Linked DNA regions of Elephas maximus indicus. The protein of the gene in region 1 purifies or fractionates together with the protein of each later gene. This does not show direct contact. Links are inferred from orthologs where the notes say so. Each region holds a gene or a part of one and is shown in the gene's direction. Other genes may lie near its edges.

Evidence for each region.
Region 2: the proteins of KLHL22 (region 1) and NUDCD3 purify together in Homo sapiens (co-immunoprecipitation; 3 studies listed by BioGRID and IntAct, counting the BioPlex papers as one, with this or other methods). This does not show direct contact. The link is inferred for Elephas maximus indicus from reciprocal best matches to the Homo sapiens genes KLHL22 and NUDCD3.
Region 3: the proteins of KLHL22 (region 1) and NIPSNAP2 purify together in Homo sapiens (co-immunoprecipitation; 3 studies listed by BioGRID and IntAct, counting the BioPlex papers as one, with this or other methods). This does not show direct contact. The link is inferred for Elephas maximus indicus from reciprocal best matches to the Homo sapiens genes KLHL22 and NIPSNAP2.
Region 4: the proteins of KLHL22 (region 1) and EMC7 purify together in Homo sapiens (co-immunoprecipitation; 3 studies listed by BioGRID and IntAct, counting the BioPlex papers as one, with this or other methods). This does not show direct contact. The link is inferred for Elephas maximus indicus from reciprocal best matches to the Homo sapiens genes KLHL22 and EMC7.

What each region holds. Positions count from the first base shown.
Region 1 is NC_064840.1:21,860,591-21,867,737, reverse strand, and holds the start of KLHL22 (kelch-like protein 22), read left to right. Parts: upstream 1-4,134; 5' UTR 4,135-4,178; intron 4,179-7,147. UniProt on the Homo sapiens protein: Substrate-specific adapter of a BCR (BTB-CUL3-RBX1) E3 ubiquitin ligase complex required for chromosome alignment and localization of PLK1 at kinetochores.
Region 2 is NC_064826.1:120,658,039-120,665,480, forward strand, and holds the start of NUDCD3 (nudC domain-containing protein 3), read left to right. Parts: upstream 1-4,438; 5' UTR 4,439-4,747; coding exon 4,748-4,939; intron 4,940-7,442.
Region 3 is NC_064830.1:103,039,231-103,046,801, forward strand, and holds the start of NIPSNAP2 (protein NipSnap homolog 2), read left to right. Parts: upstream 1-4,564; 5' UTR 4,565-4,626; coding exon 4,627-4,718; intron 4,719-7,571. UniProt on the Homo sapiens protein: Protein involved in mitophagy by facilitating recruitment of the autophagy machinery required for clearance of damaged mitochondria.
Region 4 is NC_064828.1:23,754,169-23,761,989, reverse strand, and holds the start of EMC7 (ER membrane protein complex subunit 7), read left to right. Parts: upstream 1-4,819; 5' UTR 4,820-4,888; coding exon 4,889-5,121; intron 5,122-7,821. UniProt on the Homo sapiens protein: Part of the endoplasmic reticulum membrane protein complex (EMC) that enables the energy-independent insertion into endoplasmic reticulum membranes of newly synthesized membrane proteins.

The sequences.
Region 1 (7,147 bases):
TGCTGGCCTTCAAAGCATTCAGTTTAATCAGGAAACTTCTTTGCTTTTGGTTTAGTCCAGTTGTGCTGACCTCTCCTGTATTGTGTGTTGTCTTTCCCGACACCTAAAATAGTTATCTACTACTTAATTAGTGAAAACCCCTTTCTCTCCCTCCCTCCCCACTCTCATAACCATCAAAGAATATTTTCTTCTCTGTTTAAACTATTTTTTTCTTATAATAATGGTCTCATACAATATTTGTCCTTTTGCAACTAATTTCACTCAGCATAATGCCTTCCAGATTCCTCCATGTTATGAAGTGTTTCACAGATTCATCGTTGTCCTTTATCGATGCATAGTATTCCATTCTGTGAATATACCATAATTTATCCATTCATCCATTGATGGGCACCTTGGTTGCTTCCATCTTTTTGCTATTGTAAACAGTGCTGCAATGAACATGGGTGTGCATATATCTGTTCGTGTAAAGGCTCTTATTTCTCTAGGATGTATTCCAAAGAGTGGGATTGCTGGATAGTATGGTAGTTCTATTTCTAGCTTTTTAAGGAAGCACCAAATAGATTTCCAAAGTGGCTGTACCATTTTGCATTGCCACCAGCAGTGTATAAGTATTCCGGTCTCTCCACAACCTCTCCAACATTTATTATTTTGTATTTTTTGGATTAATGCCAGCCTTGTTGGAGTAAGATGGAATCTCATTGTAGTTTTGATTTGCATTTCTCTAATGGCTAATGATTGCGAGCATTTCCTCATGTATCTGTTAGCTACCTGAATGTCTTCCTTAGTGAAGTGTCTGTCCGTATCTTTTACCCATTTTTTAATAGGGTTATTTGTCTTTTTGTAGTTGAGTTTTGGCAGTATCCTGTAGATTTTAGAGATGAGATGCTGATCAGAAATGTCATAGCTAAAAACTTTTTCCCAGTCTGTAAGTGATCTTATTACTCTTTTGGTGAAGTCTTTGGATGAGCATAGGTATTTGATTTTTAGGAGCTCCCAGTTATCTACTTTTTCTTCTGCATTGTTAGTAATGTTTCGTATACTGTTTATCCAATGTATTAGGCCTCCTAGCATTGTCCCTATTTTTTCTTCCATAATCTTCATCATTTTAGATTTTATATTTAGCTCTTTGATTCATTTTGAGTTTGTTTTTGTGCATGGTGTGAGGTATGGGTCTGGTTTTTTTTTTTTTTTTGCAGATGGATATTCAGTTATGCCAGCACCATTTGTTAAAGAGGCTATCTTTTCCCCATTTAACTGACTTTGGGCCTTTGTCAAATATCAGCTGCTCATATGTGGATGAATTTATGTCTGGATTCTCAATTCTGTTCCATTGGTCTATGTATCTGTTGTACCAGTACCAGGCTGTTTTGACTACTGTGGCAGTATAATAGGTTCTAAACTTAGGTCGAGAGAGGCCTCCCACTTTGTTCTTCTTTTTCAGTATGTATTTTGCATATCTTTACTCTCACTGAAATTGATGATTCTTTCAAGTACTTATCAAGTTATTCTTCCTCTTTTGAGTGCTATTCATGTCCTTCTCATTTAACTACCGCAATCTTAAAATTTTCTTACTTTTGTATGAATTTTTTACATAGGATTATTCACCATTTGCTATCATTTTTGTTGCAAAAATTTCCTCGAGTGTTTTCTTTTTATTTGTTTGGGTTGGCTGCCATCAAACTATTTTGCAACCAAATGAGTTGGTCTTTACCTTTGTGATATCTTCCAATGGTTTGAGGCTTAGAAAGTCTTCCATCATCTGTAATAGCCAGTTTTTCTGCTTTGCATTTCTCTCGTTTCCTTCAGTTTGTATTTACTTAGCACCTGTTGAGTACCAGACCCTGTTCTAGGTGCTGGGAATACAGCTGTGAAGCAGATAAAGTTTACTACCCTCAGGAAACAGAGGATCTCCTCAGAAGCAAGTTCACCCATACTATGGAACCTGCCCGCTTCTATCAGAATTTCCTGTACACCATGACTACAGACGCCGCCTCCTCTTCCCTCCTCTGGAATTTTCCAATGGGTGAACTACTCACCTGATATATGGTGTATTTTGAGATAGTACCTTTAGCTCAGAGATGATTGAGGAGTGTGTTTCCTAACCCCTTGTCCTGGCCAGCCCCGACCCTTATTCCAGGACGTCTTCTCTTCACTCATTCCCACTCTCTCCACCCATTAGCTCCATTTTCCCACATGTGAAGGTGCTATCCTCCAGGCTTTCAGCCTGTAATCTTACCTGTCCTCCTCATCTCAGAGACTAGGCTCTCCTGGGCAGTCTTCCTGTCCTCAGCTCCTTTCACACCTGAGTCCCTGGAGACTGGCTTCTGTCACTCGGAGAAAAGGGCTCCTGAAAAACCACCGAAGTTCTCGTTATTGCAGATCCTGGGTTCTCACCTCCTCTCCATTCTGGATCTGCCCTCATACCTGGCTCTCACTGAGCCTTTGAGATCACCCCCTCCTCTGTCCCCTCTGTGGGTTCCTGATCTCTTGGTGCCCATGGAACACCAATGTGCCTTGTGCTTCTGCTCTCAGCCGATTCTTATTTTCCTCACACTTCCTCTGGCTCCACATGTCATGCCCAGCTGTGGTGCATGATACGCACCTCCAGCCTGACCCTCCAGAGGGGCCCTCATTTGGATGTCCGCAGGCCCCCCACCTTGCCAACGTGAGCTTCATCTTGCCCACACCAAGCCACTCCTGCTCCAGCCTCCCTGTGGTAGGGTGGCTCCACAGTCGCACACCATCCCTCTTGTGCTCACCTCTCACCCATCACTCACCCATACTATGGAACCTGCCCGCTTCCCAGGTTTCCAGCCAGCACCACTCTGTCTTCACTCCCTGCCACCTGAGGCCACAGCCTCTCTGTTGCTTCTCATCCTCCTTTCTCCAGCTCTCCAGGCCAGCCTTTATGGCCCAGGTTGGTATCTGAAATGCAAATCAAACCTTCTCCCTGCCCTGGCTAAAGGCTGCCCTGAGGATCAAGTCCAGCCTCTAAAAGCTGGGTCTGGTCTCCAACTTTTCCTTCAGACTGAGACAATTCTGGTGACCTTCTAACCACCCGCTTTACTGGATCTCACCTCCATGCTTTTACTCACCTCACCCGCCTTCCAGGAATGCTCCCCAAAAATCATCTTTTACACAGCTCAAAGGTCACCTCCTCCAGAAAGCCTTCCAGAATTTTCTCCCTCTGCAGCCCAACCTGCTCCCACTAGGCACCTCTGCTCTCAAGACCCGTCCCCTCTCCCTGCCCTTGTCTGGACCCTGGGTGGCTCTCTCGGCTCAATAAGGTCGACTCTCCTGGGACATCATTCCTTTCATTTATTTTCTCCTCCTACATTCCTCTTCACTTTTACTTATTACTACAAACCATCCCTCCCCCCACAGCTCTCTCCACCCTTCCCAGCCCCTTTCACAACCGCAGTGTAGGACACCTGAACCCCATCTATCAGGAAGTTCTGTGGTGGCTTTTTCCTCTGGACACAGCGATTACAGATGTGCGTGGGAGGATCGGCTCTTCTTGGACCAGAGGCTGACAAAAATGAGTGCCAAGCAGTCCCTAGTGGACGGCTGGAGCCAGGCCTTAAATTTGGGATCGCATTTACTGCAGAATCTCAGTAAACAAGAAAACAAAGACCTGTTCACGCGTGTTTCTCCTGCCTTAGCTCCCAGGGCCGGGCCTTGCCTTATGGACCTCTTTTCCCCAACACCCAGCAGAGGGCGCGCGACAACGCCCGGTCAGGAAAGGCCTGAACGAATGAATGAGTGAGGGCGGGAAGGTCGGAGTGAGGGGATGCTTGAGTGAGAGAAGAGATTTACAAGGCGTGACCCTCGCCACAGGCATTGGTTCATTTCTTCACTTATTCATTCGTTCAGCACCGCCAGGTACCAGGAGCTGTGCCAAGGTGTGGGATGCATCGCGGACCCGGCGATCAAGCGCCCTTTTCCACAGAGGGATCCAGCAGAGCCGCATGCGCGGGAGGGGACGATGCTCGAACAGCTTCTCCAGGGGGAGATCCGGTTCCGCGCCCCTGCGCCCCCGCCCCCCGCGCCTGAGTCGCTTCGCCCCCTGGCCTCCGCCCGCGCGCTCCATAGCGCCTGCGCGGGAGGACCACGTGACGCGCGAGGCCCCGCCCCGCCCCGCCTCCCGCGAGTGCGGCCTCGGCTTGCGGCGGCTCCAGGTGAGCTGCTAGGCACGGATCGGGCGGGCCAGCGGGCCGGGAGGCGGGAAGCGCGGGCTGCGGGCGGTCGGGCAAGCGAGCACCGGCCCCAGGCCAGCGACGCCGGCGGCCTGGGAGCGCGGGAGTGGGCGCGGCTCGAGGCGCGGGGGCGGCGGCCTGAGGTGAGCCCGCGGCCTGACGTGGCGGGGGCGCGGCCGGCTGGACCTCCCGGAGCAGTCGGGGCCGGAGTCGCCGCCCGGTGGAGGGACAGGTTCCCGGTTCTCCGCGCCTGCGGGGGCCGGGGCCGGCCTTGTCGCCTGCGGCGTTCCCAAGCTTGGCCTTCCCGGCCGCGACCCTCCGCCCTGCACGGCCGGGCCTGCAACAGGAGGGCGGCTCAGGTCTGCCGCCACCGCATGACCTTGGCGAGCCTCAGTTTCCTCAGCCGCGCGCCCAGGCCGCCATCAGGGGCGTCGCCGGGGACAGAGTGCGTTCCGGGCGCGGGGGTCCCGAAACTGCAGTCGTGGACCCCAGCCGCGCCAGCTCGCCCCCTTTCATGAGAGAAGTTGGGGGTCGCGCTGTCTGTGTAAAACCTCCGGGTTCCGAAATCCTGGGCGGACCGAACAGACCTGGGCCGGAGCAGCGGGGACTGGCTGCAGGGTCGGCGCTTCTACCTGTTCCAACTATGCTCTCCGCGGAATTCCTTCCAGAACTCTTCCCCAGCTCAGGGAAATAAGACCCACTCCCTCCTCCCCTCTTCTAGAGCTGCCCCCTTTCTCTTTGTTTTGGCCCTTGCTTCATGCTACCAAAAGTCCTGGTTTTGGGGGGGCACTACGGAGGACTTGGTGTCTACTCAGTAAATGGTTGCTGAGTTGGAAATTCTTAAATGCTTTTGACTCGGTCGTCCATTAATTCATCAAAATTCGTTTTACGTTCTCCAGTTCGTACCTGCTTGGGACATAAAATTTACTTCCTGTACCCCCTAAAGCTTTGAGCAGCTCAGAATGGAGGGGCCTTGCTTGTGATGTTTGGAATCTGGGAGATTATGGGGCTGGATTAACCTAGGGAAGGGCTTCAAGACAGAGTTGTTGTTGAGTGCCTTTGAGTGGATTTCAACTCATGGCGAACCCATGTGACAGAGAAGAACTGCCCCATCGGGTTTTTTAGGCTGTGGTCTTTGCTGAAGCAGATACACCGGTCTACTTCAAAGCATTTGGGTGGGTTTCAATCGCTTACTTTTCGAGCGCTTAACCATTGTGTCACCAGTGCTCCTTAGAGTACCACCACCACCCATTGTAGTTGAGTGGATTCTGACAGAGTAGAACTGTCCCATAGGGTTTCCAAGGCCGTAAATCTTTGTGGAAGCACACTGCCACATCTTTCTCCTGAAGAGCAGCTGGTGGGTTCGAACTGCCAACATTTCAGTTAGTAGCCAAGCACTTAACCCCAGCACCACGAGGGCTCCTCAGGATAGAGTAACCCCCTGTAAAATGAATCGGGAGACCAGGGTGCCACTCAGTAAGTGAGCTCCTAAGAGCATTCTTTATTCCAGGATATCAGGCAACACAGAGGACTCACAAAGCTGTGCTGCATTCGCCTTATTATTTTTAAATACTGTCTTTTACAGAAAGGTAGTTACACTCTGAAATGCTGGGGTTTTTGTTTCTTTTTCATCTGTTAGATCAACAGTGATTAAAAAGAAACACTATTGGTGAGCTAGACAGTAGGGAATCAGGTTCTTATACTTTGCTGGTGGGAGAATAAATAGGTCCAACCTCTTAGAGGGTAGGTTGGCAGTATCCATTAAAATTCAAGATCACCGTTTTTCCATAATGACCCAGGAGTTCTGTATCTAGGAAATTTACTTGGATAACTGCTGCATGTGTGATACTGCACTTGTACTATCAAACAGTTGGAGGAAACCCAGATGTCCCTTTGATGTACCTTTTGTACTTTTTGAATTTGAATCGTGAATGTAATCATATTCAAAAATACGTTTCAGAATTTCATTATGAAATATTTCAAACTGACAGAAAAGTATAGAGATTAACCTACCACCTCACGCTATCACATCCTAATTTTTTTTTTCTTTTTAATGGTGGTGAAAATACAAACCAAGACATTGGCCAGTGCATCACCCTCCACATTCACAATTCAGTGACATTGATTACATTCCTCATATTGTGCCAATATCACTCTCCTTTTCCCAAATACTTCACCACCATTACCGAGAATTCAGTGCCCCCCCCAAACAAAAACTTCCTCCTCGCCCCTCCCACGAATAACTTCTGGTTTCTGTACATTACTTCGTATAAGTGAGATCATACAGTGTTTGTCCTTTCGTAACTGAATTATTGCACTCTGTAGTGGTAGTTGCCTCTGGGACAGGATGTGGCTGGGACATGTGTTGAAGGGAAACTTAAGTTTCATAGTGTACTTTTCTGTACCGCATTATTAGCATAATGTTCTCAAGATGTATCCATGTTGTAACACGCACCAGAACATCATTTCGTTTTAGGGCTGCATAATATTCCATTGTATGTACATTCTATATTTTGTTTATCCGTTCATCCGTTGATGAACATTTTGGTTGATACTACATTTTGGCTGTTGGGAAACATGCTGCAGTGGACATTGGTGTACAGATTTCTGTTTATGTTCCTGCCTTTACTTCTTCAGGGTATATACCTAGAACGAGGATTGCTGGGTAATATGCTAGTTCTAGGTTCAACTTTCTGAGGAACTGCCAAACTGTTTTCCACAATGGCTGCATCAGCTTACCTTCCTACCAGTAATGGACGAGGGTTCCATTTTCTCCACAACCTTTCCAACACCTGTTTTCTGTTTTTCTTTTTATTATTGCCATTTTAATGAGGGTGAAATGATATCTCATTGCAGTTTGATTTGCATCTCCCTTGACTGCTAACCAGAAGGTTAGCAGTTGGAACCCACCAGCTGCTCCACGAGAGAAAGTTGTGGGAGCCTGCTTCCAT
Region 2 (7,442 bases), on another chromosome or scaffold:
CACAATGAATGAACTAATATTGATAATTAACTGGTGTCCATCCTTTATTTAGATTCCCTTAGTTTTTACCTAATGTCTGTTTTCTGTTCCAGGATCCCATCCAGGACACCACATTGCATTTGGTTGTCGTATCTCCTTAGACTCCTCTTGGTTGTGAGCATTTGTCAGCGTTTCATTGTTTTTGATGACCTTGACAGTTTTGAGAAGTACTGTTCAGGTATTTTGTAGAATGTCCCCAAATTGGGTTATTTATTTTATTGTACTTCAGATGAAGGTTTACAGAACGAACTAGTTTCTCATTAAACAGTTAGTACACCTGTTGTTTTATGACATTGGTTAATAACCCCATGACATTTCAACACTCTCCCTTCTCAAACTTGGGTTCTCTATTACAGCCTTCCTGTCCCCTCCTGCCTTCTGGTCCTTGCCCCAGGGCTGGTGTGCCCCTTTAGTCTCATTTTGTTTTATGGGCCTGTTCAATCTCAGAAGTGACTTCCATTACTGAGCTGAAAGGGTGTCCAGGGGCCATACTCTCAGGGCTTCTCCATTCTCTGTCAGGCCAGCAAGTCTAGTCTTTCCTTTTTAGCTACCTGAATTGAGTTTTGTCTGATGTTCATCTAAAAAGACTGAAGTTACAGGTTTTTGGAGGAAGACCACAGAGGTAAAATGCTATTATCATCACATCTTATCAAAGGCACACCTATCAATATGATTTATGACTATTGATGTTTACCTTGATCACCTGGCTGAGGTAGTGTTTGTCAGGTTTCTCCAAAGAGCTCTGGTTCCTTTTATTGGAGAATAGCATTAGAAATCAATATGCGGGTACTAGGTTTGTTCACTGATACTGAGGTATTGTTGCTTCTGGGCCTTCTCAGCTGGCATTGCAAGGAAATATGTGTCTATTGACCCATGTATACTCACATTTCTATAACTGTTTCTCTGTGTAATTATGTGTATCTATATTAAGCTAACCATGGGCTTATACTGATGTCTCCAACTTTAATCATTACCATGTGGATCATTCTGGCCTCCTCCCCTCACTTATCTGTAACCACCCACTCCAGTAGTAAGAAACCTGGCTCCAACCATAAGCATCCATTTACTCAACTGTTCAATTACATTGTACAGGTATAGTGATTTTGGAATTGATACACCAAATCCCCATAGGAAACAACTTTATCAGCTAGACTATAGTGCTTATGTGCAGATACTTTTGCCTTACAGGCTTCATTTCCAAAGTTACTTAGGTCAGCATCTTTTCCCCTATCTCCTTCAATCAGGTTGTTTCATACATTTGTATACAGCCAGCTTCTTTTGTCACATTCTGCATTCTATCCTGGAATCCCTTGACCTCTTAAATTTGCATACAGTAAGGGTCACTCTTTGGGCTGTAAAGTTCTATGGGTTTTGAAAAATGCAGTGTCGTGTATCTACCATTAGCATTGTATAGAATAGCTTCATCACCCTAAAAAATCTCATGCTTCACTTAGTCAAACTTTCTTCCTCCCAACCCCTGCAACTACTGATCTTATTACATCTCTATAGTTTTGCTTTTTCTGAATGTCATATAATTGGGATCATATGTATCGTTTTCAGATTGGCTACTATAGCGATATACATTTAAGATTAATTCATATCTTTTTGTGGCTTGATAGCTCACTCCTTTTTTATCCCGAATGTGTTCCATCGTATGGCTGTACCACAGTTTACTGATCCATTCACCTATTGAAGGACATGTTGGTTGCTTCCAGTTTTGGGTGATTATGAGTAAAGCTGCTATGAATATTCACATGCAGGTTTTTTGGGTGGACATGGTTTTTGAATCAGTTGGGTAAATATCAAAGAGTATGACTGCTCGATCATAAGATTATGCTTAACTTTCTACTCACCTTTTTCATTTTCTTTTTGAACAGGTAATGCATATGTATATGGTATTAAATTCAAAAGTAAGTCTCCTTCTTACCTGTATTCCCCAGTCCTCCCCCTCCCCTTTCCTGCATGTCCTTTCAAAGCCATACTGAGGCATTACAAAACATGTTTACCCAAGGATTATTTAATTCTCCTGGGCAGCAGTTTTCAAAGTGTAATCTATGTACCCTTGGGGGCTTCCAAAGTCAAAATCATAGTATTAGGATGTTACTTGCATTTTTACTGTGTTGACATTTGCACTGATGATACAAAATCAATGGTGGGTAAAACTACAAGTACAACAGCATAAATCAAGGCAGTGGCATTAACTTAACTAGTAGTCAGTACATCCTTCACTACCTTACACCATAGTCAAAAAAAAAAAAAAAGTTCCACTTAAGACTGTCCCTGATGAAGTGTTAAAGTTATGAATTTTATTAAATCTTGACACTTCAGAAGAAGTCTTTGTAACATTCTATGTGATGAAAGAGAAGTGCACATAAAATCCTTAGCTTCATTCATACTGAAGTATAATGGTTGATTTGGGAGAAAGCACTGGTGTAATTGAGTTGCCAGCTGAAGTAGCCCCTTTCATGGAACACCATTTTTACTTGAAAGAATGACAGAAAGAACGAAGTAAGTCTGCCACTTCCAGGAAAACAACTGACACTATTATTTGCCAATAATAAAATTCAAGTTTTCAAGTGATAAACTGTGCTATGTCTCCATCAACTTGACAGCTTCCCAGTAATTAAGGCCTTCTCTGATTAGTGGTAATATTAACAAACATGATTCTTTGATATTGTATGATGAAATGTAAACATTTGGAAGAGCTGCACAACTCGACAAACCAACATTTTTTAAATGACTAATACAGGAGGTTACAAAATCATGCACATAAAAGGTCCACTGAAACTGCTGGATAAACCAGTAGATATTAATGTAGCAGAGTAGGAAATGTTTATTGATATGGTTTCAGAGTCCACATTGCAACTAACTTTTAAGAACTTTAGTTTTTGGTATAGCTTTGTTATTGTTTCAAAGAAGAGTTTTGGTACAGTTTTAACAAAGAATATCCATTTATTTGGAAAGACAATTAAAATACTTCTCCCATTTCCAACTCCTATCTTTGTGAGACTGAGCTTTCTATATATACTGCAACCAAAACAACATATGGCAAATACAGCAGATGCAGAAGGAGATGCAAGAATCCTGATGTCTTTTTTTAAACCAGACATTAAAGAGATTTTCAAAAATGTAGGACTGTGTCAGTCTTCTCACCAAGCTTTTTTACTGCTTTGAAAAGTGTAATTGTTTTCCATGAACATGTCAACTTATGTGTTTATTAGTTATTTAAAAATGAGTACTTAAAAATTTCTCAGTCTTAACTTATAATATGGTAAATATCGATAGGTATAACCTACATAAACAAAAGCTCAATACATTTTGAGAACGTAATCCCAAAAGTTTCAGCACCACTGCTGTTGAACAATTTATGTGAGGTCGGCTTTGTTGTCTACAATTGGTTAGAGCTCATACACTGTGAAGGTATATGTTAACTCGTGATTTTAGTACACTAGAGATGCAAATAATTTCTACCCAGTAGAAAATATAATCTATGGCTTAATTATCTTGTAGAACACAAAGCAGCTTTGTATGTAACCTAGCAATCTTACTCTAGTATTTTTTTTCTCTCAAAATGTCTATAAATACCTAGTTTCTCAAAATGCGCTTTGAACTAGCTTCAGCATTTAAATGGTTCCCTCATTAATCTGTTGAATAAGATCATTGACATGTGTTTGCTGTGTGTATGAAAAGTATACTTTGACACACTTATGACACGTCACACATATCACAAAAATCTCACAACATCGGGTTATTAGATCCTCTGTTCTGCACCTGGACGGTTCTACTCCGTCCTATAGGGTCGCTGTGAGTCCGAATCCACTCCACAGCAACGGATTTTATTCTGCACCTAGCTCTTATGCATGCACTCATTTTACATTTCTTTTCTCCTCTTATTTGAGTCACCTTGAATTTCCTCCGATGCAACGCCTTTAATTTCACTCACAGCTGTTACTAATAGGAAATTCATATACTCCACATACACGCATTTCTCCTTACCTGACTTACTGAAAAAACTCAAAGCGACGCCAGCTTTTTTAGCCACTGAGTTCCTGATAAAAACCGAAACCAAACCTGTTACAGTGGAAGGAATTCTGAGGCATAGTGACCCTATAGGGCAGAGTGTAACTGTCCCATATGTCTTTTAACGCTGTAATCTTTATGGAAGCAGATTTCCACATATTTCTCCCGCAGAGTGGCTGGCTCAGTAAACGGTGGAGCGCCTAACCACCGCACTACCAGGGCTTCTTAAGCTCAGCACACCTAGCCGGGAATTCAGCCCAGAAACTATCAAGCGTCCCACAGGCCACGTGACAAAAACCAGTAGATCAAGTGACGCTCCTGTACACGTGCCAGTGCCCGCAGCCGCAATCCTTCCGCCCGTTTCAATCATGGTCCCTAGATGTCTTCAGTACGGCAACCGCGGGGCGCCTTCCGCTTAGGAGCCACTTTGGTTTCTACCTCTGGCTCTTGCAGCGACGGCCGGCTGGCGGGAAAGCCAGGCAGGGGCAATAAGGACGGTGTTCCCGGATCGGCAGCCAAAACGCGTCTCTAGGGCCGCAGGGCTAGGGGAAACGAGAGCGGACTGGAAGTTCGCGGCTGTGCTGGCCAGCGGAGCCGTTAGCTGCAGCACGCCGGAAGTGGCTTGCTGGTCCGGGTTGCTCCATCCTTCAGCAGTGCGTGAGCTTTCCTCCTGGGCCGGCCAGAGGACATGGAGCCCGGGTCAGCCGAGTTGTACGACCAGGCCCTGCTGGGCATCTTGCAGCATGTGGGCAACGTCCAGGACTTTCTGCGCGTGCTTTTCGGTTTCCTCTACCGCAAGACCGACTTCTACCGCCTGTTGCGCCACCCTTCTGACCGCATGGGCTTTCCGCCGGGGGCGGCCCAGGCCTTGGTGCTGCAGGTAACAGCGGAGCGGGCAGGTTCCCAACTCGTGTCCACCCGATCGTCTGCCCAGTAGCCGGTCACTGAGGCCAAAGAGGTCCCGGGAGCTTCATTCCTGCGGGCAACCTGCTCCCTGACTTCCCTTGCAGTCCAAGCTGCGTTTCTGGCTCCGCCCCCCTTAAGTTGTGGAATACTTCTCCCAGCCTCAATTTTCTCATCTGGTGATTCTGTAGACCTGTCTCGCAAGATTGTGATGGTGACCAGATGAGATAATGGCTGTGAAAGTAATCTGAAACGCTGATCGGGTATCAGGTTATTCTTCTGTGGGAGCTGTGACCAGCTCTCAAGCAGCCCAGTTTTACACACGATATACTTACGTGACAGAAGTAGTAAACTGGTTGTTGAGGATCTTCTTCACCCCACAGTGCATAATTCTTCAAGTGCTAGGCGCTGCTTGTCAGAGAATGAAAACGATGCAGATGTTAGGTCAGACGGGAGGAAAGACAAATTTACGTCAACAGAAATCTACACGCCCCAAAACTACAAAGACAGACTCTGGAGGTGGAAGGGATGACTGAGGGATTGTGTTGATGAATGGGTATGATCATCTTGTTTGAAATGTGAATTCGCAGGTCAGAGACAGTCATAACATTATTAAATTTACACTTATTTGCGTAATTACTAAGTTCACATTTGAGTACGTGTATACAACCCACGTTAAATTGTGTTAAGGAGCTATTAGTATTCATTCAGTGAAGTTGATTGTGTACTTTTGAGTGTAGTAAGTAGTAAGCAAGTATTTACTGAATGTGTTTTATATTCTCCAGCAGCTGTACTGGTGATGTGGATCTATAAGTAATGGTCTTTCCCCCCTGGATGCTTAGTATAGTTCAGAAGATGGAACACAGAAAGTAATAGAGAACTGTGCCAGGCCAATTATGTCATAGAGCCCTTGGTGCTACCATTGGAAGGAAAGGAATATAAATGATGGTTGAGCAATCAAGGTTTTGTAGGGGAGGCAGGATTTTTGGTGGGATTGAAAGAGTAGTTAGCTAAGCATTGAGACTGTAGGAACTGGAGAAGTCCAACGTTTGATAAGTCTCACGGTTATCTAGGGCTTTACAGTTTGTAAAGCGCTTTTCTGTGTTACCTCCTGAAGCCTTACTGTAAGCCAGTGAAGCAGGTTGGTCAGGTATTACTTTCCTCAGTGTCTAAATGAAGAAATAAAAGCTTAGGCTGTTTGAGTAACTGCCAAAGGTGATATGGTCAAATGAGGGGTGGGGATTGGGCTCAAAAGGAGTTCAGTTTCAGAACTGAAGCCTATTCCTTATTCTTTTCAGTGGCTGTCTTAGTTATCTAGTGCTGCTATAACAAAAATACCACGAATGAGTGGGTTTAACAAACGAATTAATTTTCTCACAATTTGTTGTTGTTGTTAGGTGTCATTGAGTTGGTTCCAATTCATAGCAACCCTATGTACAGCAGAACTAAACACAGTCCTCTGGTCCTGCACAATCCTTAAAATTGTTGTTATGTTTGAGCCCATTGTTACAGCCACTGTGTCAGTCCATCTTGTTGAGTGTCTTCCTCTTGTTTCTGGCAGTCCACGGTATATTCAATATTATTCACCAGCACCGTAATTCAAGGTATCACATTCTTCTTGCGTCTTCTGTATTCATTGTCTAGCTTTCGCATGCGTATGAGGTGATTGAAAACACCATGGCTTGGGTCCTTAGTCCTTAAAGTGACATCTTTGGTTTTCAACATTTTAAAGAGGTCTTTTGCAGCAGATTTGCCCAATGCAGCATGTTTGATTTCTTGACTGCTGCTTCCATGGGCATTGATTCTGGATCCAAGTAAAATGAAATCCTTGACAACTTCACTCTTTTCTCCGTTTATCATGATATTGCTTATTGGTTAAGTTGTGAGGATTTTTGTTTTCTTTATATTGAGGTGTAGCGCATACTCAAGGCTGTAGTCTCACAGTTGAGGAGGCTAGAAATTCGAATTCAGGGCGCTGGCTCTAGTGGAGGTCCTCGTCTCTTTTCAGCTTCTGCTTCTTGGTTCCTTGGTATCTGTCTTCCTCTATCCTTGCTTGTTTCTCTGTGCCATAAACCCATTGCCTCAGAGTTGAATTCTGACACGTAGCGACCCTATAGGACAGAGCAGAACTGTCCCATTGGTTTCTTAGACTGTAGTCTTTACAGAAGCAGATTGCCACATCTTTCTCCTGTGGTAGCGACCCTGTAGGACAGAGTAGAACTGCCCCATTGGGTTTCTTAGACTAACCTTTACAGAGGCAGACTGCCACATCTTTCTTCTGTGGAGCAGCTCATGGATTTGAACCACCAACCTTTTGGTTAGCAGCCAAGCACTTAACCACTGTACCACCAGGGCTCCACCACAAGTATAAAACCCAGTGCCGTTGAGTTGATTCCAACTCATAGCGACCCTATAGGAAGGAGTAGAACTGCCCCATAGAGCTTCCAAGGAGTAGGGGTTGGGATTTACAACACATATTT
Region 3 (7,571 bases), on another chromosome or scaffold:
CCACTGCAGGGTTGTTGTGAGGAATAGGTGATGCTAGTTAGCAATTACGACTTCTTTTCAGTACTTTGAGCCAAGCACATGGCTAAGTACTTTACGTACATTAGAATATTGAATTCTCTTGATAACTCTAGAGGTTCAGGGGTAAGAGCCTCATCTCATGATTGAAAAAAACTGAGCTCAGATTGGTTCAGTGACTTGTCTCAAATTGTACATCTCATGGTGTGAGAGGATCATGTTTATAGGCAGGAGAGAAGGCTCCAGTGGGAAGGGTAGGTTTAAACATTTTAGGCAGAGATGATTATTGATAGAACAAGGCTCTTGCTGGGGGTGGGCTGAGAGCTCAGGAAAAGTCGATGCTCTTTACCAAAGATGAAGCAGCAGCTAAGTGTCGTATTTTCTCTCCCCAAGTCCCATCTTGCATTGTCTGCATCGCGCCTTCACGTTCTGTCCTGCATTGCCAGGTCACAGCTGGGAGCTGCTGATTTTTTTCTCTTCTTCTCTCACTAGTATTTTAATAAGCGAAAGACCTACTTTGCTCATGATGCACTTCAGCAGTGCACAGTGGGGGATATCGTGCTTCTCAAAGCCTTGCCTGCCCCACGCTCCAAGCATGTGAAACATGAGCTGGCCGAGATCGTTTTCAAGGTTGGGAGAGTCATAGATCCAGTGACGGGAAAACCCTGTGCAGGAACGACCTACCTGGAGAGTCCAGTCGGTTCGGAGCCCACTCACCTGACCGAAGGTCTGAAAGAACTCACCATCCCCTCAGCACAGTAAAGGCAGAGGAGAAGAAGGCGCCACAGGGAGGGAGTTACAAGTTTGCTTTGTGGAAAAAGAAACTTTTCAAAGTTTTGTCACAAACTTTGTCCAATTTCCCTACTGGTATTTATGAAATTCATAAAAGCAACTGAAGTAAAAGCTTGTTGTAATTTTTCATAAAGGTTTATTTTCCTAAAGGCTTTATTTTCTTCTCAGTGACCATACTTTCATGTTAAACCTAGCAATCCACCGTGTCATTCTGTAAGCTCATTGTTTTCGAAGGGGTATTGTTTTTTCATTCTAAAGAAACCTGGACTTGTCTTAGAGCCTTTATTTTAGGAAAAGAAAAACTTTTGATGTAAACCAGTAAGACCACATTAAGTATTTGCTTTTGGTGGTATATATTTAAAATTAATTTTTTTTTTTCTGATTTCACCAATTCTGAGGAAAATAGCATGCTTGTGGTCAGATTTTATCAGATTAAGCTGTATTAATAAAAAATGTCAACATGTAGAAAATTTTTATAAAATTTTGTGTCACTTTTCTTACATCCTAGGTTCTAGGCTAGTTTAATTAAAACCAGTAACAGTGGCTGTCAGTTCGGACTCATGGCAACCCCATGTGTTTCAGAGTAGAACTGTGCTCCACGGGGTTTCAATGGCAGATTTTTTGGAAATAGATTGCCAGGTCTTTCTTCCAGGGTGCCTGTGTGGACTCAAACGGCCATCCTTTCAGTTAGCAGCTAAGCGAATTAACCGTTTGCATCACCCAAGGACTCCAGTTTAAATAGGCTGAGTTCTTAAAATCCAAGACATTGCCAAAGTCGTAGGAGTTTTCACACACGCATCTGAGTTGGAGAGTTTGAGTTTGTTGCTGTTGGTTAATGAACTGTGATAGCTTAGACTTAAACCAAAGAAAAATTGAGCTATATAATTCAGTTTGTGGTTTCTAAAAAGAGATTTGGATCCTATCTGAGCTTCAGCCAACATGAGTATTGTTCAACGATGACTGCAGGCAGGCCGCCCTCTCAGGACTCACAGTCTCATGGAGGACATATGCAGCCTGCCGTCATGGCCAGCAGGAGCACATGGGTCCTTCCCAGGAGAGGTGAGAGAGTGCTCAAACTCAGTCTGAGAGGAAGAGTCTCCAGGCTGGCAGGTGGTGGGTGGGGGGTGTGTGGAAAGGGCACTCCAGCCAGAGGAAAGGGAGTGTAAAGTCCCCAAAGTGTGAAAGGGGACTGAAAGTAGGAAGGATTGCTGGGGGTGGAGCTCCGGTAGAGAAATAAAAAAAAAAAAAAATGAAATAGGAGTTACATTTTATGTCATTGTAGATTATTTAAAGAGAAAATGATACTGCATTTCAATAACAGTGATAGCATCAGTGGACTGGAAGGGGAAGGATTAGAGGTGGGGAGATGAGACCTGTTGGAAGGCTGTGGCCCTCAGACCTGAGCTACACTGGGCGGGGAATATGGTGAGAGGATGGGTAGATAATGTTCCAGAGCTCTCTCAGGGCTTGACACCAGGGGGGATGAGCAAGAGCGAAGCATCTAAGAGAGCTGCTGATACCACCCAGGGGTTCCTTACCACACCGATGTGTTCAGATGCTGCCCTAGCCAGACAGCTGCATCTCTCCTGCCCAGTGCACCTTTCACTCCCAAGATTCCCAGTTTTGGAGCCTCCCAGTCCACAAATCTTGTCCGTCCCCGCCCCCCCCAGCTCTGGTGCCTAGGTAGCGGAGGCCTCCCAAGTTGCCCAATCCTGACAAGGCAGCAGCCTTTGTTACTGCCTGGTGCCTCTTAGGAAACCCTGGTGGCCTAGTGGTTAAGTGCTACGGCTGCTTACCAAAGGGTCGGCAGTTCAAATCCGCCAGGCGCTCCTTGGAAACTCTATGGGGTGGTTCTACTCTGTCCTATAGGGTCGCTCTGAGTCGGAATCGACTGCAGCACTGGGTTTGGGTTTTTTCGGTTTAGTGCCTCTTAAGTGTGGCCATGAGCGAGAGATTACACCCCAGAGCTTGTTTCCTCTTTCAGGCTGGACGAGTAAGCCAGCGAGACCCGGTTTAAACTAGTTCAAGAGGCCTAAAGTTAACCTTGGCTCATTAAGTGCCTCACACATAGTAACCCCTAGGAGGAGTTCAACTGCCGTTTTCTAAACACATCCCGTGAAGTTGCATTTGACCCTTACTGCAACTGCCTAGCATGGTTTAGAATGTCGATGTAATTCAAGTGATCTCCCTGCTTGTAAGCTCTATAAAAGTGACCTTCCTAAACCTTATTCTTGCCAACAGCCTTGGAGGCACCAACCCTGACTCTTCCTTGCTCAAGGAAATAGAGCTGCCTTTCTGATCTCCCACCTTGGCCTCGTTTATTGGCTGTGACAGGTGCGCCAAACAGGACCTGGAGTTTCCAGCAACACTGAGGGCATTTTCCTCTCAGCCTCTGGAGCTTGGAACTGGCAGACCACTGCCTTCTTGAAATGCTCCCCTGCAGGCTGCAGCCCTGGTCCTCTGCCTTGTCCCCTCCTCTCAGTGTCTGGCTTCCTTCCTGCCCATCTTGTCTTGGTTGCAGTTTTTCACGGTTCATCTGTGGCTCTTTATCTTTACTCAGGAAATATTTTCCCTGAACACTCATCTGGGCTGGCCCTCTCCTTTGTTTAAGTTGTTCCCTCTGTCAGGAATGTCCTCCTTTCTACCATTGGTCAACTCTTTCCAAGAGGACTGAGCTGTGGGGCCAGCTCCTCTGGGGACTTTTTCCTGGTCTACCCTCCCCTTCCCAGCTATCCTCAGTTACACAGCCTTTTCCTTCGAGTCTTGTGAACCACTGCATTTGAATACTGACACTTCCATCCGATCACCAGTTCACATCATGTCCCCACCATAGGGGGGCTGCTTGAGGGTACAAACGGGGACTCCACATGACCAGCACCCTTCAGTGCCTAAATGAACAGGAGTGAATAATCAAGAGACTGGGAGAGAATTTGAGTGTTTCCACCCAAAATGCTTTTATTAAAGTGTTCTCTTTTTTTTTGTTGTTAGAAAAGGTAATATACTCACAAGGAGTCCTGGTGGCACAATGGTTAAGTGCTTGGCTGCTAACTGTAAGGCTGTGGGTCTGCGGCTCGAAGCCACCCACTGCTCTGTGAGGGAGGGGGAAAGATCACAGCCTTGGAAATCCCGAGGCAGTTCTACTCTATAGTATCCCCCATACGGTCACTATCAGTTGGAATCTGGCAATGATTTGGTATTTTATTTTAATATATTCACATGGTGCAAAATTTAAGGAGTCCCCGGATGCAAACGGTTAATGCCCTTGGCTGCTTCCTGAAAGGTTAGAGGTTCCAGCCCCTTCAGAAGCACCTGGGAAGAAAGGCCTACCAGTCTACTTCCAAAAAATCTGCCATTGAAAACCCTATGGAGCACCGTTCTACTCATGGGGTCGCCATAAGTCAGGCTCTCAAGGCAAATGGTCTTAACAGAATTCAGAAGGTACTGGGGAGAAGTCCCCTCCCACATGTGCCCCCTAGACTCTGGGCTCCCCTGGGCAACAGCGCGACTCTCCTTGTGAATCCTTGCACGCACATTCAAGCAGGTCCGTGTTCCTTTGCACACCGTGCTCTGAGCGCCCAGCTTTGCCGACTGTCTCCCGCTTCCAAGTCTCTTCGGCCGACACCCAGTGCCTCCCCTCGGTCCCCGCCCCGGCCACGCCCCCGGCCCTGGCCACGCCCCGTCGGCCGCGCTGCTCCCCCTGGCGGCGGCGCCCCGCACTGCAGCGCCCGCCCCGCACTGCAGCGTGCGGCCGGCCGGGGGAGGGGTCACGCCAGCGGCTCCGGCGGCGTCACGGCGGCGGTAACCCAGCGCCCGAGCAAGATGGCGGCGCGAGTGCTGCGGACCCGCGGAGCGTCCTCGGCCGGGAGTCTGCTGCAGCGGCCCGGCCCCTGCGGCCTCCTGTCCGCGCTCCGGTGAGCAGCGCCCCTTTCCCGGGGCGGCGGGGAGGGGCCGCGGCAGGCGCGGGCGAAGGCGGCGTCCTGGCGCCCGGGGGGCAAGGCCGGCCGGGCTGCGCGGCTGAGTCGGGGCGCCCTCCCGCCGGCGGGCTCAAGGTCACGGCGGGGACGGGCGGCGCGCCCCGCCCCACTGGGAAGGCCGCCGCTCGGCGGGAGGCCACGTCCGCTAGCCGCGCAGCCCGGGCCGTGGACCTTGACCCGGCGGCCCGAGCGCGGCGGAGCCAGGCCTTGCGCTCGGGCCGCCAGGTGTCCCGAGGGCGCCCGGTGTCTGCGGCTGCGAAGCGGCGGGGCTCCGGATGTTTACGGCTCAGGTGGTCGTGGGGACAAAATAAAGACCTCGTCCCCGGTGAAGGGTGGTGGGCACAGGAAGCCAGCCTGCAGAGAGCCTCAGACTGGATTTTTAAAGCAGGCTGTGGATGAAAAAGTATTGACAGATAACAGCGCCAGATATTTAACCGTGGGTCATGTTTAAACTGTTTCTGACGTGTGTGGAGTCGACGTTCAGAAATCCTATAAAAAAAAAAAAAAAAACCAGAAACCCTATAGGGCAGTTTTATTCTTTAGGGTCACTAGCTATGAGTCAAGAATCAACTCGAAAGCAACGACTTTGAGTTTTTGGTCACCTTGGGTGGTTTAAATATTACCTTTCCTTTACAGTAAATAATGAGCTTCTAGAAAGTATAACCCATTGCTGTCAAGTCAGTCCTGAGTCATGGGGACCCGTGTGTGTCAGAGTAGACCTGTGCTCCATAGGATTTTCAGTGGCTGATTTTTCAGCAGTAGATCGCCAGGCCTTTCCTCCAACGCACCTCTGGGTGGATGTGAAACTCCAGATTTCTGAGCGCATTAACTGTACCGCCCAGGGACTCCTCTTGTCTCCTAAACCAAAGAACTAGTTGTCATTGAGTTGTTTCCGATTCATAGTGACCCTGTGTGTGTCAGAGTAGAACTGTGCTCCGTAGAGTTTTCAGTGGCTGATTTGTTGGAAGTAAATTGCCAGTAAGTTAGTATGGGCTTTGGTTTTTGAATGTGAAAAATGGGCATGGCCTCTAGTCTGCCTTAATTTAAGTGTTCAGTAGGCCTCGACCTAAACCCAGTTAACTTGCTCCTTCTATCAAATATTGAGTGCATACAATGTAATTGGAGCCCTGTGGAGCCAGGGATGTCCCTGGGTGGTGCAAATGGTTAAGTGATCGGCTACTAACTGAAAGGTCGGCAGTTCAAACCCACCCAGAGGCACCTCAAAAATAAGGCCCTGGTGATCTGCTTCCGAAAGCTCACCGCCAGTGAAAACCCTAAGAGTGCAGATTTACTCTGCAACATATGGGGTTGCTATGAGACAGAATCAATTTGATGGCAACGGTTTGGTTTTCTGGAGCTAAGATAAACAAAATAGCCAAGGTCGCAGCCCCCAGGGAGGCGGGGTCCCCATAAAGTAGGTAAAAACCCATATAGAACATGAACAGACATGTGCACCTATGTTCATCATTGCTTTATTCACAATAGCAAATAAATGGAAACAACCGAAGTGCCCGTCAATGGGTGAATGGATAAGCAAATTGTGATCACACACATCAGTGGAATACTACGCAGTCATAAAGAGCAACGATGAGTCAGAGAAATATACTATCACACAAATGGACCTGGAGGGAATAATGCTAAGTGAAATAAGTCAAGCATATAAGGACAAATATTGTATGACTCCTCTTTTATAAGATAAGAGTAGATAAATACAGAGAGACCAGTGTTCGTTAGTGGTTACCAGGGAGAAGAGGGGAGTGGGGAAAGTACACTTTATACTGTAGAGACTAGTTATTTTTGGTAACAGGAATAGTGGCACTGAATGCGGATGTAGTGAGCACAGTACAACCCTGGGGAAAAAAAGCGTTTGAGCACGCATGAATGGATATAGGGAAATTCGTATACGGGTAGGTACAGGTGTGTACATAAATGAGAGCAGATAGAGGTATCTATACCCGTTGCCGTCGAGTGGATTCTGACTCGTAGTGACCACTATCTGTAGGTAAGTGTAAATACAAATATGTGGGTGCAGACACGTTTACCGAAGACACTAATATGGTTACTCCTCAGACATGACCGCATACCTTCCAAGACTGGTGTTCTGGATTTGAAGGCATAGAACCATAGTCTCATGGGACAACTCAGTCAATTGGTATAACATAGTTCACAAAAACCGTGACCTGCGTCCTAACGAAGTGGGTACTGTCTGGGGTCTTAAAAGCTTGCAAGCAGCTATCTAAGACATAGCTTAGGGTCTCTGTTGGCCAGGAGTAAAACAGTAAGCAGGTAACCAAAAGCATAGAGAAGAAACAAGTCAACATGAGCCACAACCTCATCTAACCTGAGACCGGAAGAACTAGATGGTGCGTGGCCACCACCAGTGACCGTTCTGACCGGGGTCAAAGTCGTTGGTCCCGGAGAGAATGGGAGAAAAGTATGGAGCAGAACTCAAATTCTTATTAAAAACACATACACACACAAACTGGAACAGTAAAAACAGAAGACCCTCTGAGACTATTGCCCCGAGATGCTCTTTAAACCTACAGCTGAGCACGAAATAGTAAAATGGCACACAGAATAAAGGATATTACCTGTAAGATCGGTGCTCTAATTAAAAACCATCACTATTTGACCAAAGAGCCAACAGTTACTCAAGAGCGAGGATGAGAAGATAAAGGGGCAGGGAAACTAGAGTACTGGAAAGGGAACAAACTGAACACAAAGAGAATGTTGACACATTGTGGTAAACGTAACCAGCGTTACCGAACAACTTGTGTGGAAACTGTCAAA
Region 4 (7,821 bases), on another chromosome or scaffold:
AAGGCAGAAATGCAGATACAGAGAGCTCAGTTGCTGTTTGCTGCCAGTCCTCTTCTACCCTTTGCCCAATACAAAGTAAACTTCCCAGCTCCTGCTTGGGTAAGAGCCAATACAGATTACCTATTAGTCAAACTGAACATGTGTCTAAGATATCAGCAAAGCAGAGTCACCAAGGATATATGAAAGAACATCAGAAAACTTGGAATGAAGCTATTTTTTTTTTTTATTTCAGCATACTTGTAGATTTTCCATCATTTTAGAAAAGCGGTATTTTCATAGCTTAGCATAGTTTTGACAGTTACTGGTGGTGTAGAGGGTGGCAGCACATTATAACCTTTTTACTATGGCTTAAAAAATGCTTACTCCTGCTCTGGTTAGGACTGAAACAAGTGCCTGTCTCAGGGATCAGCCCAACACTTCCTACGGAAAGAACATAACAGGCAGAGCCTTGCATCTTTAAATCAGCATTTTGAGAGCTTTTATCCTTCATGAAAAATATCTTTGGCTGAGCACATGGCTTCATTCCTCTTCAGCTGTTCTCTACCAATCCCACAATACATCTTAGATCTAATTCACCACATGACAGGGGATGGCTAAAACATGGGGAGGGAGACCTTCTCCAGTGGGTCAGTCATTACATATGGGTGTAGGCAGGAGAAGAGAGGTCAAATACACTCTTTCAATTAAAACAAAACAAAACCTATTGCCGTTGAGTCGATTCCGACTCATAGCGACCCTATAGGACAGAGTAGAACAGCCCCATAGAGTTTCCAAGGAGCACCTGGTGGATTCAAACTGCCAACCTCTTGGTTAGCAGCCATAGCTCTTAACCACTATGCCATCAGGGTTTCCATTCTCTCTATAGGGACTCAAAAACCAGTGGGATCTAAAATGCCTCCAACTACTCACTTCTTATTCTGGGCTACGCCTATGAAGACTGTCCTTCCTTTGCCCAGCTTCTGTTTATTTGTAATAGCTTTATAACTCATTGTTTAGACAGTGAGGGATGAAAATTGGAGAGCACAAGTCAAAATACAAAGAATGAACCAGGAAAAAATATTTACAACTCATATCACAAAGATATAATGTCTGTAATGTTTAAGAGCCCTTCCAAATCAATAAGAAAAGATGAATCATTCAAATGAAAATGGGCAAAGAACACAAATCAGGGAAGTCACAGAAAAGGAACTATAAATAGCTCTTAAAACATTTGATACAATGGTCCACCTCACTTACAATAAGAAAAATACAAATTAAAACCGAGAAATCATTTTTAACCCACCCGTTTGGCAAAAATAAAGTTTGATAACACACTTGTTGGTGAGAATATGAGGGAATAAGGCACTCCAATACATCATTGGTGCACTCTGATACTAACCGGCAGTTTGAATCTACCAAACAGAGTTAGGAGAAAGGCCTGGCAATTTACTTCCATAAGATTACAGCCACTGAAAACCTATGGACACAGTTCTACTCTGAAACATGTAGGGTCTCCATGAGTTGGAATTGAATGGACAGCAATGGGTTTTATACACTGCTGGTAAGGGTGAAAGTTGGAACAACTTTCGTGGAAGTCAATTTGACAAAATTTACCAAAATTACCATGGCTTGGGTCAGGCACACCTTAGTCATCAAAGTGACATCTTTGCTTTGTAAGATTTTAAAGGGGTCTTTTTTTTTTTTTACGGTAGATTTGCCCAATGTAATGTATCATTTGATTTCTCAATTGCTGCTTCCCTGGGCATTGACAGTTGATCCCAGTAATTCTTGACAACTTCAGTATTTTCTCTGTTTATCACGATATTGCTTATCAGTTCAGTTGTGAGGATTTTGTTTTCTTTATTTTGAGGTGTAATCCACACTGAAGGCTGTGGTCTTTGATCTTCATCAGTAAGTGCTTCAAGTCCTCTGCACTTTCAGCAAGCAAGGTTGTATCATCTGGATATCGAAGGTTGTTAGCGAGTCTTCCTCCAATCCTGATGCCGTGATACAGACTGAAAAAGTATGGTGAAAGGATACAACCTTGGCACACAACTTTTCCAATTTTAAATCACAGTATCCACTTGTTCTGTTCAAACAACTGCCTCTTGGTCTATGTATAGGTTCCACACAAGCACAGTTAAGTGTTCTGGAATTTTTATTCTTTGCAATATTATCCATAACTTGCTATGATCCACAGAGTGGAATGCCTTTGCATAAAATGCATGTGAAAGCTGGCCAATGAAGAAGGAAGACCAAAGAAGAATTGATGCATTTGAATTATGGTGTTGGCCAAGAATGCTGAATATACCATGGACTTTCAGAGGAATGAACAAAGGTCTTGGAAGTACAATCAGAATGCTCCTTAGAAGCAAGGATGGTGAGACTTTGTTTTGATTATTTTGGACATGTGTGTTATCAGGAGGGACGAATCCCTGGAAAAGGGCAACATGCTTGGTAAAGTAGAGGGTCATCTCATTGAGGAAAACGCTCAATGAGATGGACTGACACGGTGGCTACAGCGATGGGCTCAAACATACCTATTATGAAGACAGCAAGGACCGGCCAGTGTTTCGTTCTGTTATACACAGGGTTGCTATGAGTCGGAACCAACTTGATGCCACCTAACAACAACATACAGTATATTTATATAATAATATATATTAAATGGTATAATATATTAAAATAATAAAGTATTATATTGTTTATATGTTTCTTTATTATATGCTAAATATATATATTCCTGTCCCCTTTTTATACACACTTGGCAGCATACCATATATATCAATTACATATATGTAAATGGATATATTGGCTTGTATATTATTGATTATATCTGGGTGAATAATCAGGAAACTGATAACAGTGATTGCCTCTTGAGAAACTGGGTGGCTGGCGGAGAGAAGTGAGTGACAGACTTTTCTCTGTATACTCTTTAGTACTGTTTGAATGTTGTACCACGTGATAAAGTCCATCAGTTAAAGACCACCAGGAACACCCTATAGTCAAACAACGTTAGGTTTTTTAGCTTACTGCTTCAAGGAAGATTGCACACCAAAGAAACTGTGGGTGTACCAGTAAAATGCAGAGGAATGATTTATAGCATTTGGGCTTCTGCTGAATTACTCTAAGGAAGGTATAAGGGAGGCGAGCATCAGCTCTGAATTTGGTTTCTCAGAAATCTTTTTTCAGGAGGTGAGAGGAAGAAAGCATAGCTGGGGAAGTCATAGGTAACAAAGTAGTAATGACAGAAAAGGATTTGTCATTTTAGGAGTCCCTGGGTGGCACAAAGGGTTAAGTGCTGAACTACTAACCAAAAGGCTGGCAGTTCGAACCCATCCAGAAGTGCCTCAAACCCAGAGGTGCCTCAGAAGAAAGGCCTGGAAATCTGCTTCCAAAAGCTTCAAAGCCATGGAAAAACCCTGTGGAGTTCTACTTTGCAACACATGGGGTCTGCAACACATGGGATCACCACGAGTCAGAATCTGACTTCACAGTATCTGGGTTTGTTTTGTGTTTGCTTAGAAATTTTGCAGCTGTGGTGTAGCCTTGGAAGAAGCATTGTTTTCCGATGGCCTTGCCACTGCCCTGGGTCTATTAGGTACATCAAAGACTGATTATGAACAGTGCTGATTTTTGCTTCTTCAGTCCTGAACTGACTTTTACCTTCTCGTGTGTGAATGTGTTACCTATCCAAAAATTAAACAGACTTTAAAGTAAATAAGATAAAAATAAACCTCCGAAAAAAAATTTTTTTTTATGAAGAAATCAGACAGCTACTTGCGCATCTCCTGAACCTGGATCGCCAGTTCCCTCAACAATTACAAAGTTTATCTGCCAAACAGAAAAGCCTAATTTTGTTTTTTCTTCTGAGCAGACTTGCTCCTTCCAAAGAGCAAACGTGAAGAAACAACCATATTCAGAATATGAGGGAAAGTACCCCAAGGGGCAATTGCTGCCTGCGAGAGCAGAGTATGGGGTTGCCCTAGCGTCAGGTCCCCAACACCTGCAAGGGGCTTGGAGTATTTGGCTCTTGCATTTTCTACTTTCAATTTTTGATACCCTTTCCTAGAAGGCTAATGCTAAGATTGCACAGAGCAAAAATATACATTGCCCTCAATTATCTTCAATTGGGATTTGCAGCAGGGAGGGGAATATTCAAGATCAACGGGAACCTTGGACAAGACACTTTCCTTTTCTATCATTAAAAAAAATGAAAGGACTGGAACAGAGTATCTCTGAAATCTTGACTCTAGCCCCCAAGATCAACAATGGCAGCCCCCACCCCCACGCCCTAATGTTGTTATCCTCCTGGTATTCAAAAAGTACGAATGGTGTAGTGTCTGATATTTAAAAGTTCCTCAGTCCTCCTCTCGCCCTTAGTTAATAGTCTGTGTATTTTTCCAGAATTTTCTATGCAGAGACAATACCTCCTTTAAACACCCACAAATAAGGCATTCTATATATTCTAATCTGCAACGTGGCTTTTCATCTATTCGTCTAGTACGTCTCGGGGAATCTAGCAGTTTTTAAAGCTCTCTCTGGACCTATTTCTCCCGAAGCCGGGGTCTGGATCCTTGCCCCTCTCAGACTTGTCATTCTTAACTTCTGTGACGTCTTTGGCCTCTGTGGCTGCCACAGCAACGCACATTTCACCACTGTGTGGGCGGCGCCTTTCAGCAGCGCTTGACAGGCCCCTCTGACCGCCTTCCAGCCCCGAGCGGGAGGAGCACAGGACGCTACTTCCGCTTCGCCAGTCGACCGCGGAAGATTCCTTCGCTCTAGTTTGAGGCTACAGTTCGGGCCAGAATCGGGCGCGCAGTGATGACGACATCAGGCCGGCAGAGACTGCGGCTGGGAAACGAGAAGGGCTTCCGGAATTGGCTGCCGACCGCTGAGAGCTGCTGCCATGGCGGTCGCTCTGTGGGGCTTCTGTTCCGTCCTTCTACTGCTGCTATCAGGGGGTGTCCAGAGCTCGGAGGTGCCCGGAGCTGCTGCCGAGGGGTCGGGGGGAAGTGGGGTCGGTGTAGGAGACCGCTTCAAGATTGAGGGGCGTGCAGTTGTTCCAGGGGTGAAACCCCAGGACTGGATCTCGGCGGCCCGAGTGCTCGTAGATGGAGAAGAGCACGTTGGTTTCCTTAAGTGAGCATCCTGAGGGCAGCGGGAAAGCGGTTGGGATGGAGGCTGGAGGGCGATGCCCCTAGGAGACCTAAGTGTCAGGACTAGACGACGTCGCTGTCTGTCGGCGAACGGGCGGGCGCCGCTAGCAGTCTATGCCAGGAGACCTTGCGAGACGGTGGGACGCCTTCCCCTCACGACCCGGTTCCTCAGTAATGAGAATGGCAGGTGCTTGCCACAGGGCCAGAGCAGTGGGGTGATTTTCAACCCCGTTTTGGCCCTTTATGGGAATGACCGCTCCTGAGCCTGGGGACTTATTTGTCTCTTGCTGGATCTTTTCCTTTATATTTCATCCGGTTTCTCAGGAACCTAACCTATTTTTGCATTCAGTGTAGCCTTTTGGTAGCTTGGTCTTGTGTAGAGAGATGCGAAACGAGTGGGAATTCTCAAAGCCCGAAGGGCTTATCTAGTGACGACAGGCTGGGGAGCTAATGTTGCTGCTTCTAAAATTAATCGGCCCTGAAATCCCTAATGGAAGCACTTTTTTTGGCCTGGGGTGGGATTGTTGTTCTTTCTTACACCAGAATTCACTGAGGGATTTACAGCATCACACTTGGCATTTATGTGAGATTAGGGTTTCTCTACATTGCTTCTGTCCTTTTCAGCTGTTAGTAGAAATGGGGTTTCAGCCTACGTAAAAAGACGTGCTGAATTTGTTAAACACTCATGTTTTGCAGCGGCCAGCTTCTCAAATGTCTAGGCACATGAATGATGTTTTAAATCTTTTCCATTGTTGCTTAAAAGTGAAACTTCGAGCTGAAAGAGAATATTTAGGAAAGGGAGAATTTCTTTGGTGGGCCTGTTCACCAGCAAGGGGTATCTGAAAACCAGACAACTTAAATGTGGACATTTAATTCTAAATCTGATTTACAAATTTGTTGAGGCCATCCAGGTGCCCTTGAGTGAGAATTTCAACTATGACTGACAAATAACGACACGAGGTTTGCAACCGTTATTTTAATGTTGTCATTAATGATCTGGCGTTAGGGCATTTAGGGTTCACCCTAATAAATGACGCTTTAACAGTAAAGCTCTCATTACGTTTTGGAAATTTATCCTTAATTGACAATATGGCCTATCTCTGCTGTAATACATAATTCTTTTAAAAAATTTATTTTTATTTTAAAATAATGTAGACGCAATATGTTTATTCAGATTCCCTGGGTGGTGGAAGTGGTTAATGTACTCACCTGCTAACTGAAAGGGTGGAGGTTCAAATTAATCCAGAGGTGCCTCAAAAGAAAGGCCTGGAAAAAAATCAGCCACTGAAACCGTATGGAGCACAATTCTACTCTGACACACACTGGTTTGCCATAAGTTGGTAGCGACTGGTGGACCCTGGTGGTGGTGGCGGAATGTGTTTATTGAAGAAAATGTAAACTAGAAAATAGAAATAACAATCCTTAGCATTTTATTGCACCTTTTTTTTTAACCTTTTTTGAATTGTATAGACATACGTTTTTAATAGTAAAATGCAGTGTGTCGTACTATGTAATCTGCTGTTTCGCTTAATATTTTGTAAACAGCTTTTGATACCAGGTCATGTTCTTCTGTTTGTATGCAGAGAGGTTGGTTGAAAATTAATATGGTGCTTACAGTGGCAATCTTGTTGGAAGAAGAGGAGGTGATTTTTTTTCTGTAGCAGGTTTTAAATAAATAGCACACAATTTTTACTTACATTTATGCTTATTGGAAATGACTTGGGGAGTTGACTAACGGAAGATTTGTGGCTAAGGACTCCCCATACTGCTTATTGCAATTATCACTGTGTGCGTAAACCATGATGTATTTAACCAGTCCTCTGTTATTGGACGTTTAGGTTGTTGTGTGCTGTCTAGTCGATTCCAACTCATAGTGACCCTATATGACAGAGTATAACTGCCTGATAGGGTTTCCTAGGTAATTTGCAGGTTTTTTTTTTTTGGTATACTAAGATAATGTACTTTTTTTTAACTTTTTATTATGGAAATTTTCAGAAATACACTAAAGTAAGCAGAATAGCTTAGTGAATCCTTAAGTACTCATCACAATCTTCTCTTTTGTTTCATGTCTCCACTGCACCTGTGTGCGTGTGTGTGTGTGCTATTTAAAAATTATCCTAAACATAATATAATTTCACCTATAAAAGCATTATTATGTATCTTTAACAGATAAGGGCTTTAAAAAAAACCCACGATATCATTATTAAGTCAACAAAATAAATAATAATTCCTTAAAATCACCTAGTACCAGTCCATTTTTGTGTTTCCCAATTAAAAATGTTTTATATAATTGTTCTTTCAAATGAGGATCCAACATGGTCTATACATGGTAGAGTACATTTTTAAAGCCAAGTTTTTTAGATTTTCATTATGAAATTTATATGTTATCTTTTTGTAGTAAAACATTTACTTTAGAATGAAAAATATATTTGCTTTTACTTTAGGCTATTCTGATATTATTTGTATTGTATAATCTTAATTATGTTTTTTTCTGGACCTAGAAAAACGTTTTGAAATTCCTTTAGTCAGAGTCCCAGCGGGAAGCAGATGGCCCCCTTGAATTTAGAATAATTCAGAAGTTTAATAAAAGGATTAGACAATGTAGTCAGGGTGTGGGGAAGCAACCAGATTGTGTGGTATCCTGGACTTTACAATTCAGGGCTATTATCACCTCTAAGCCTTG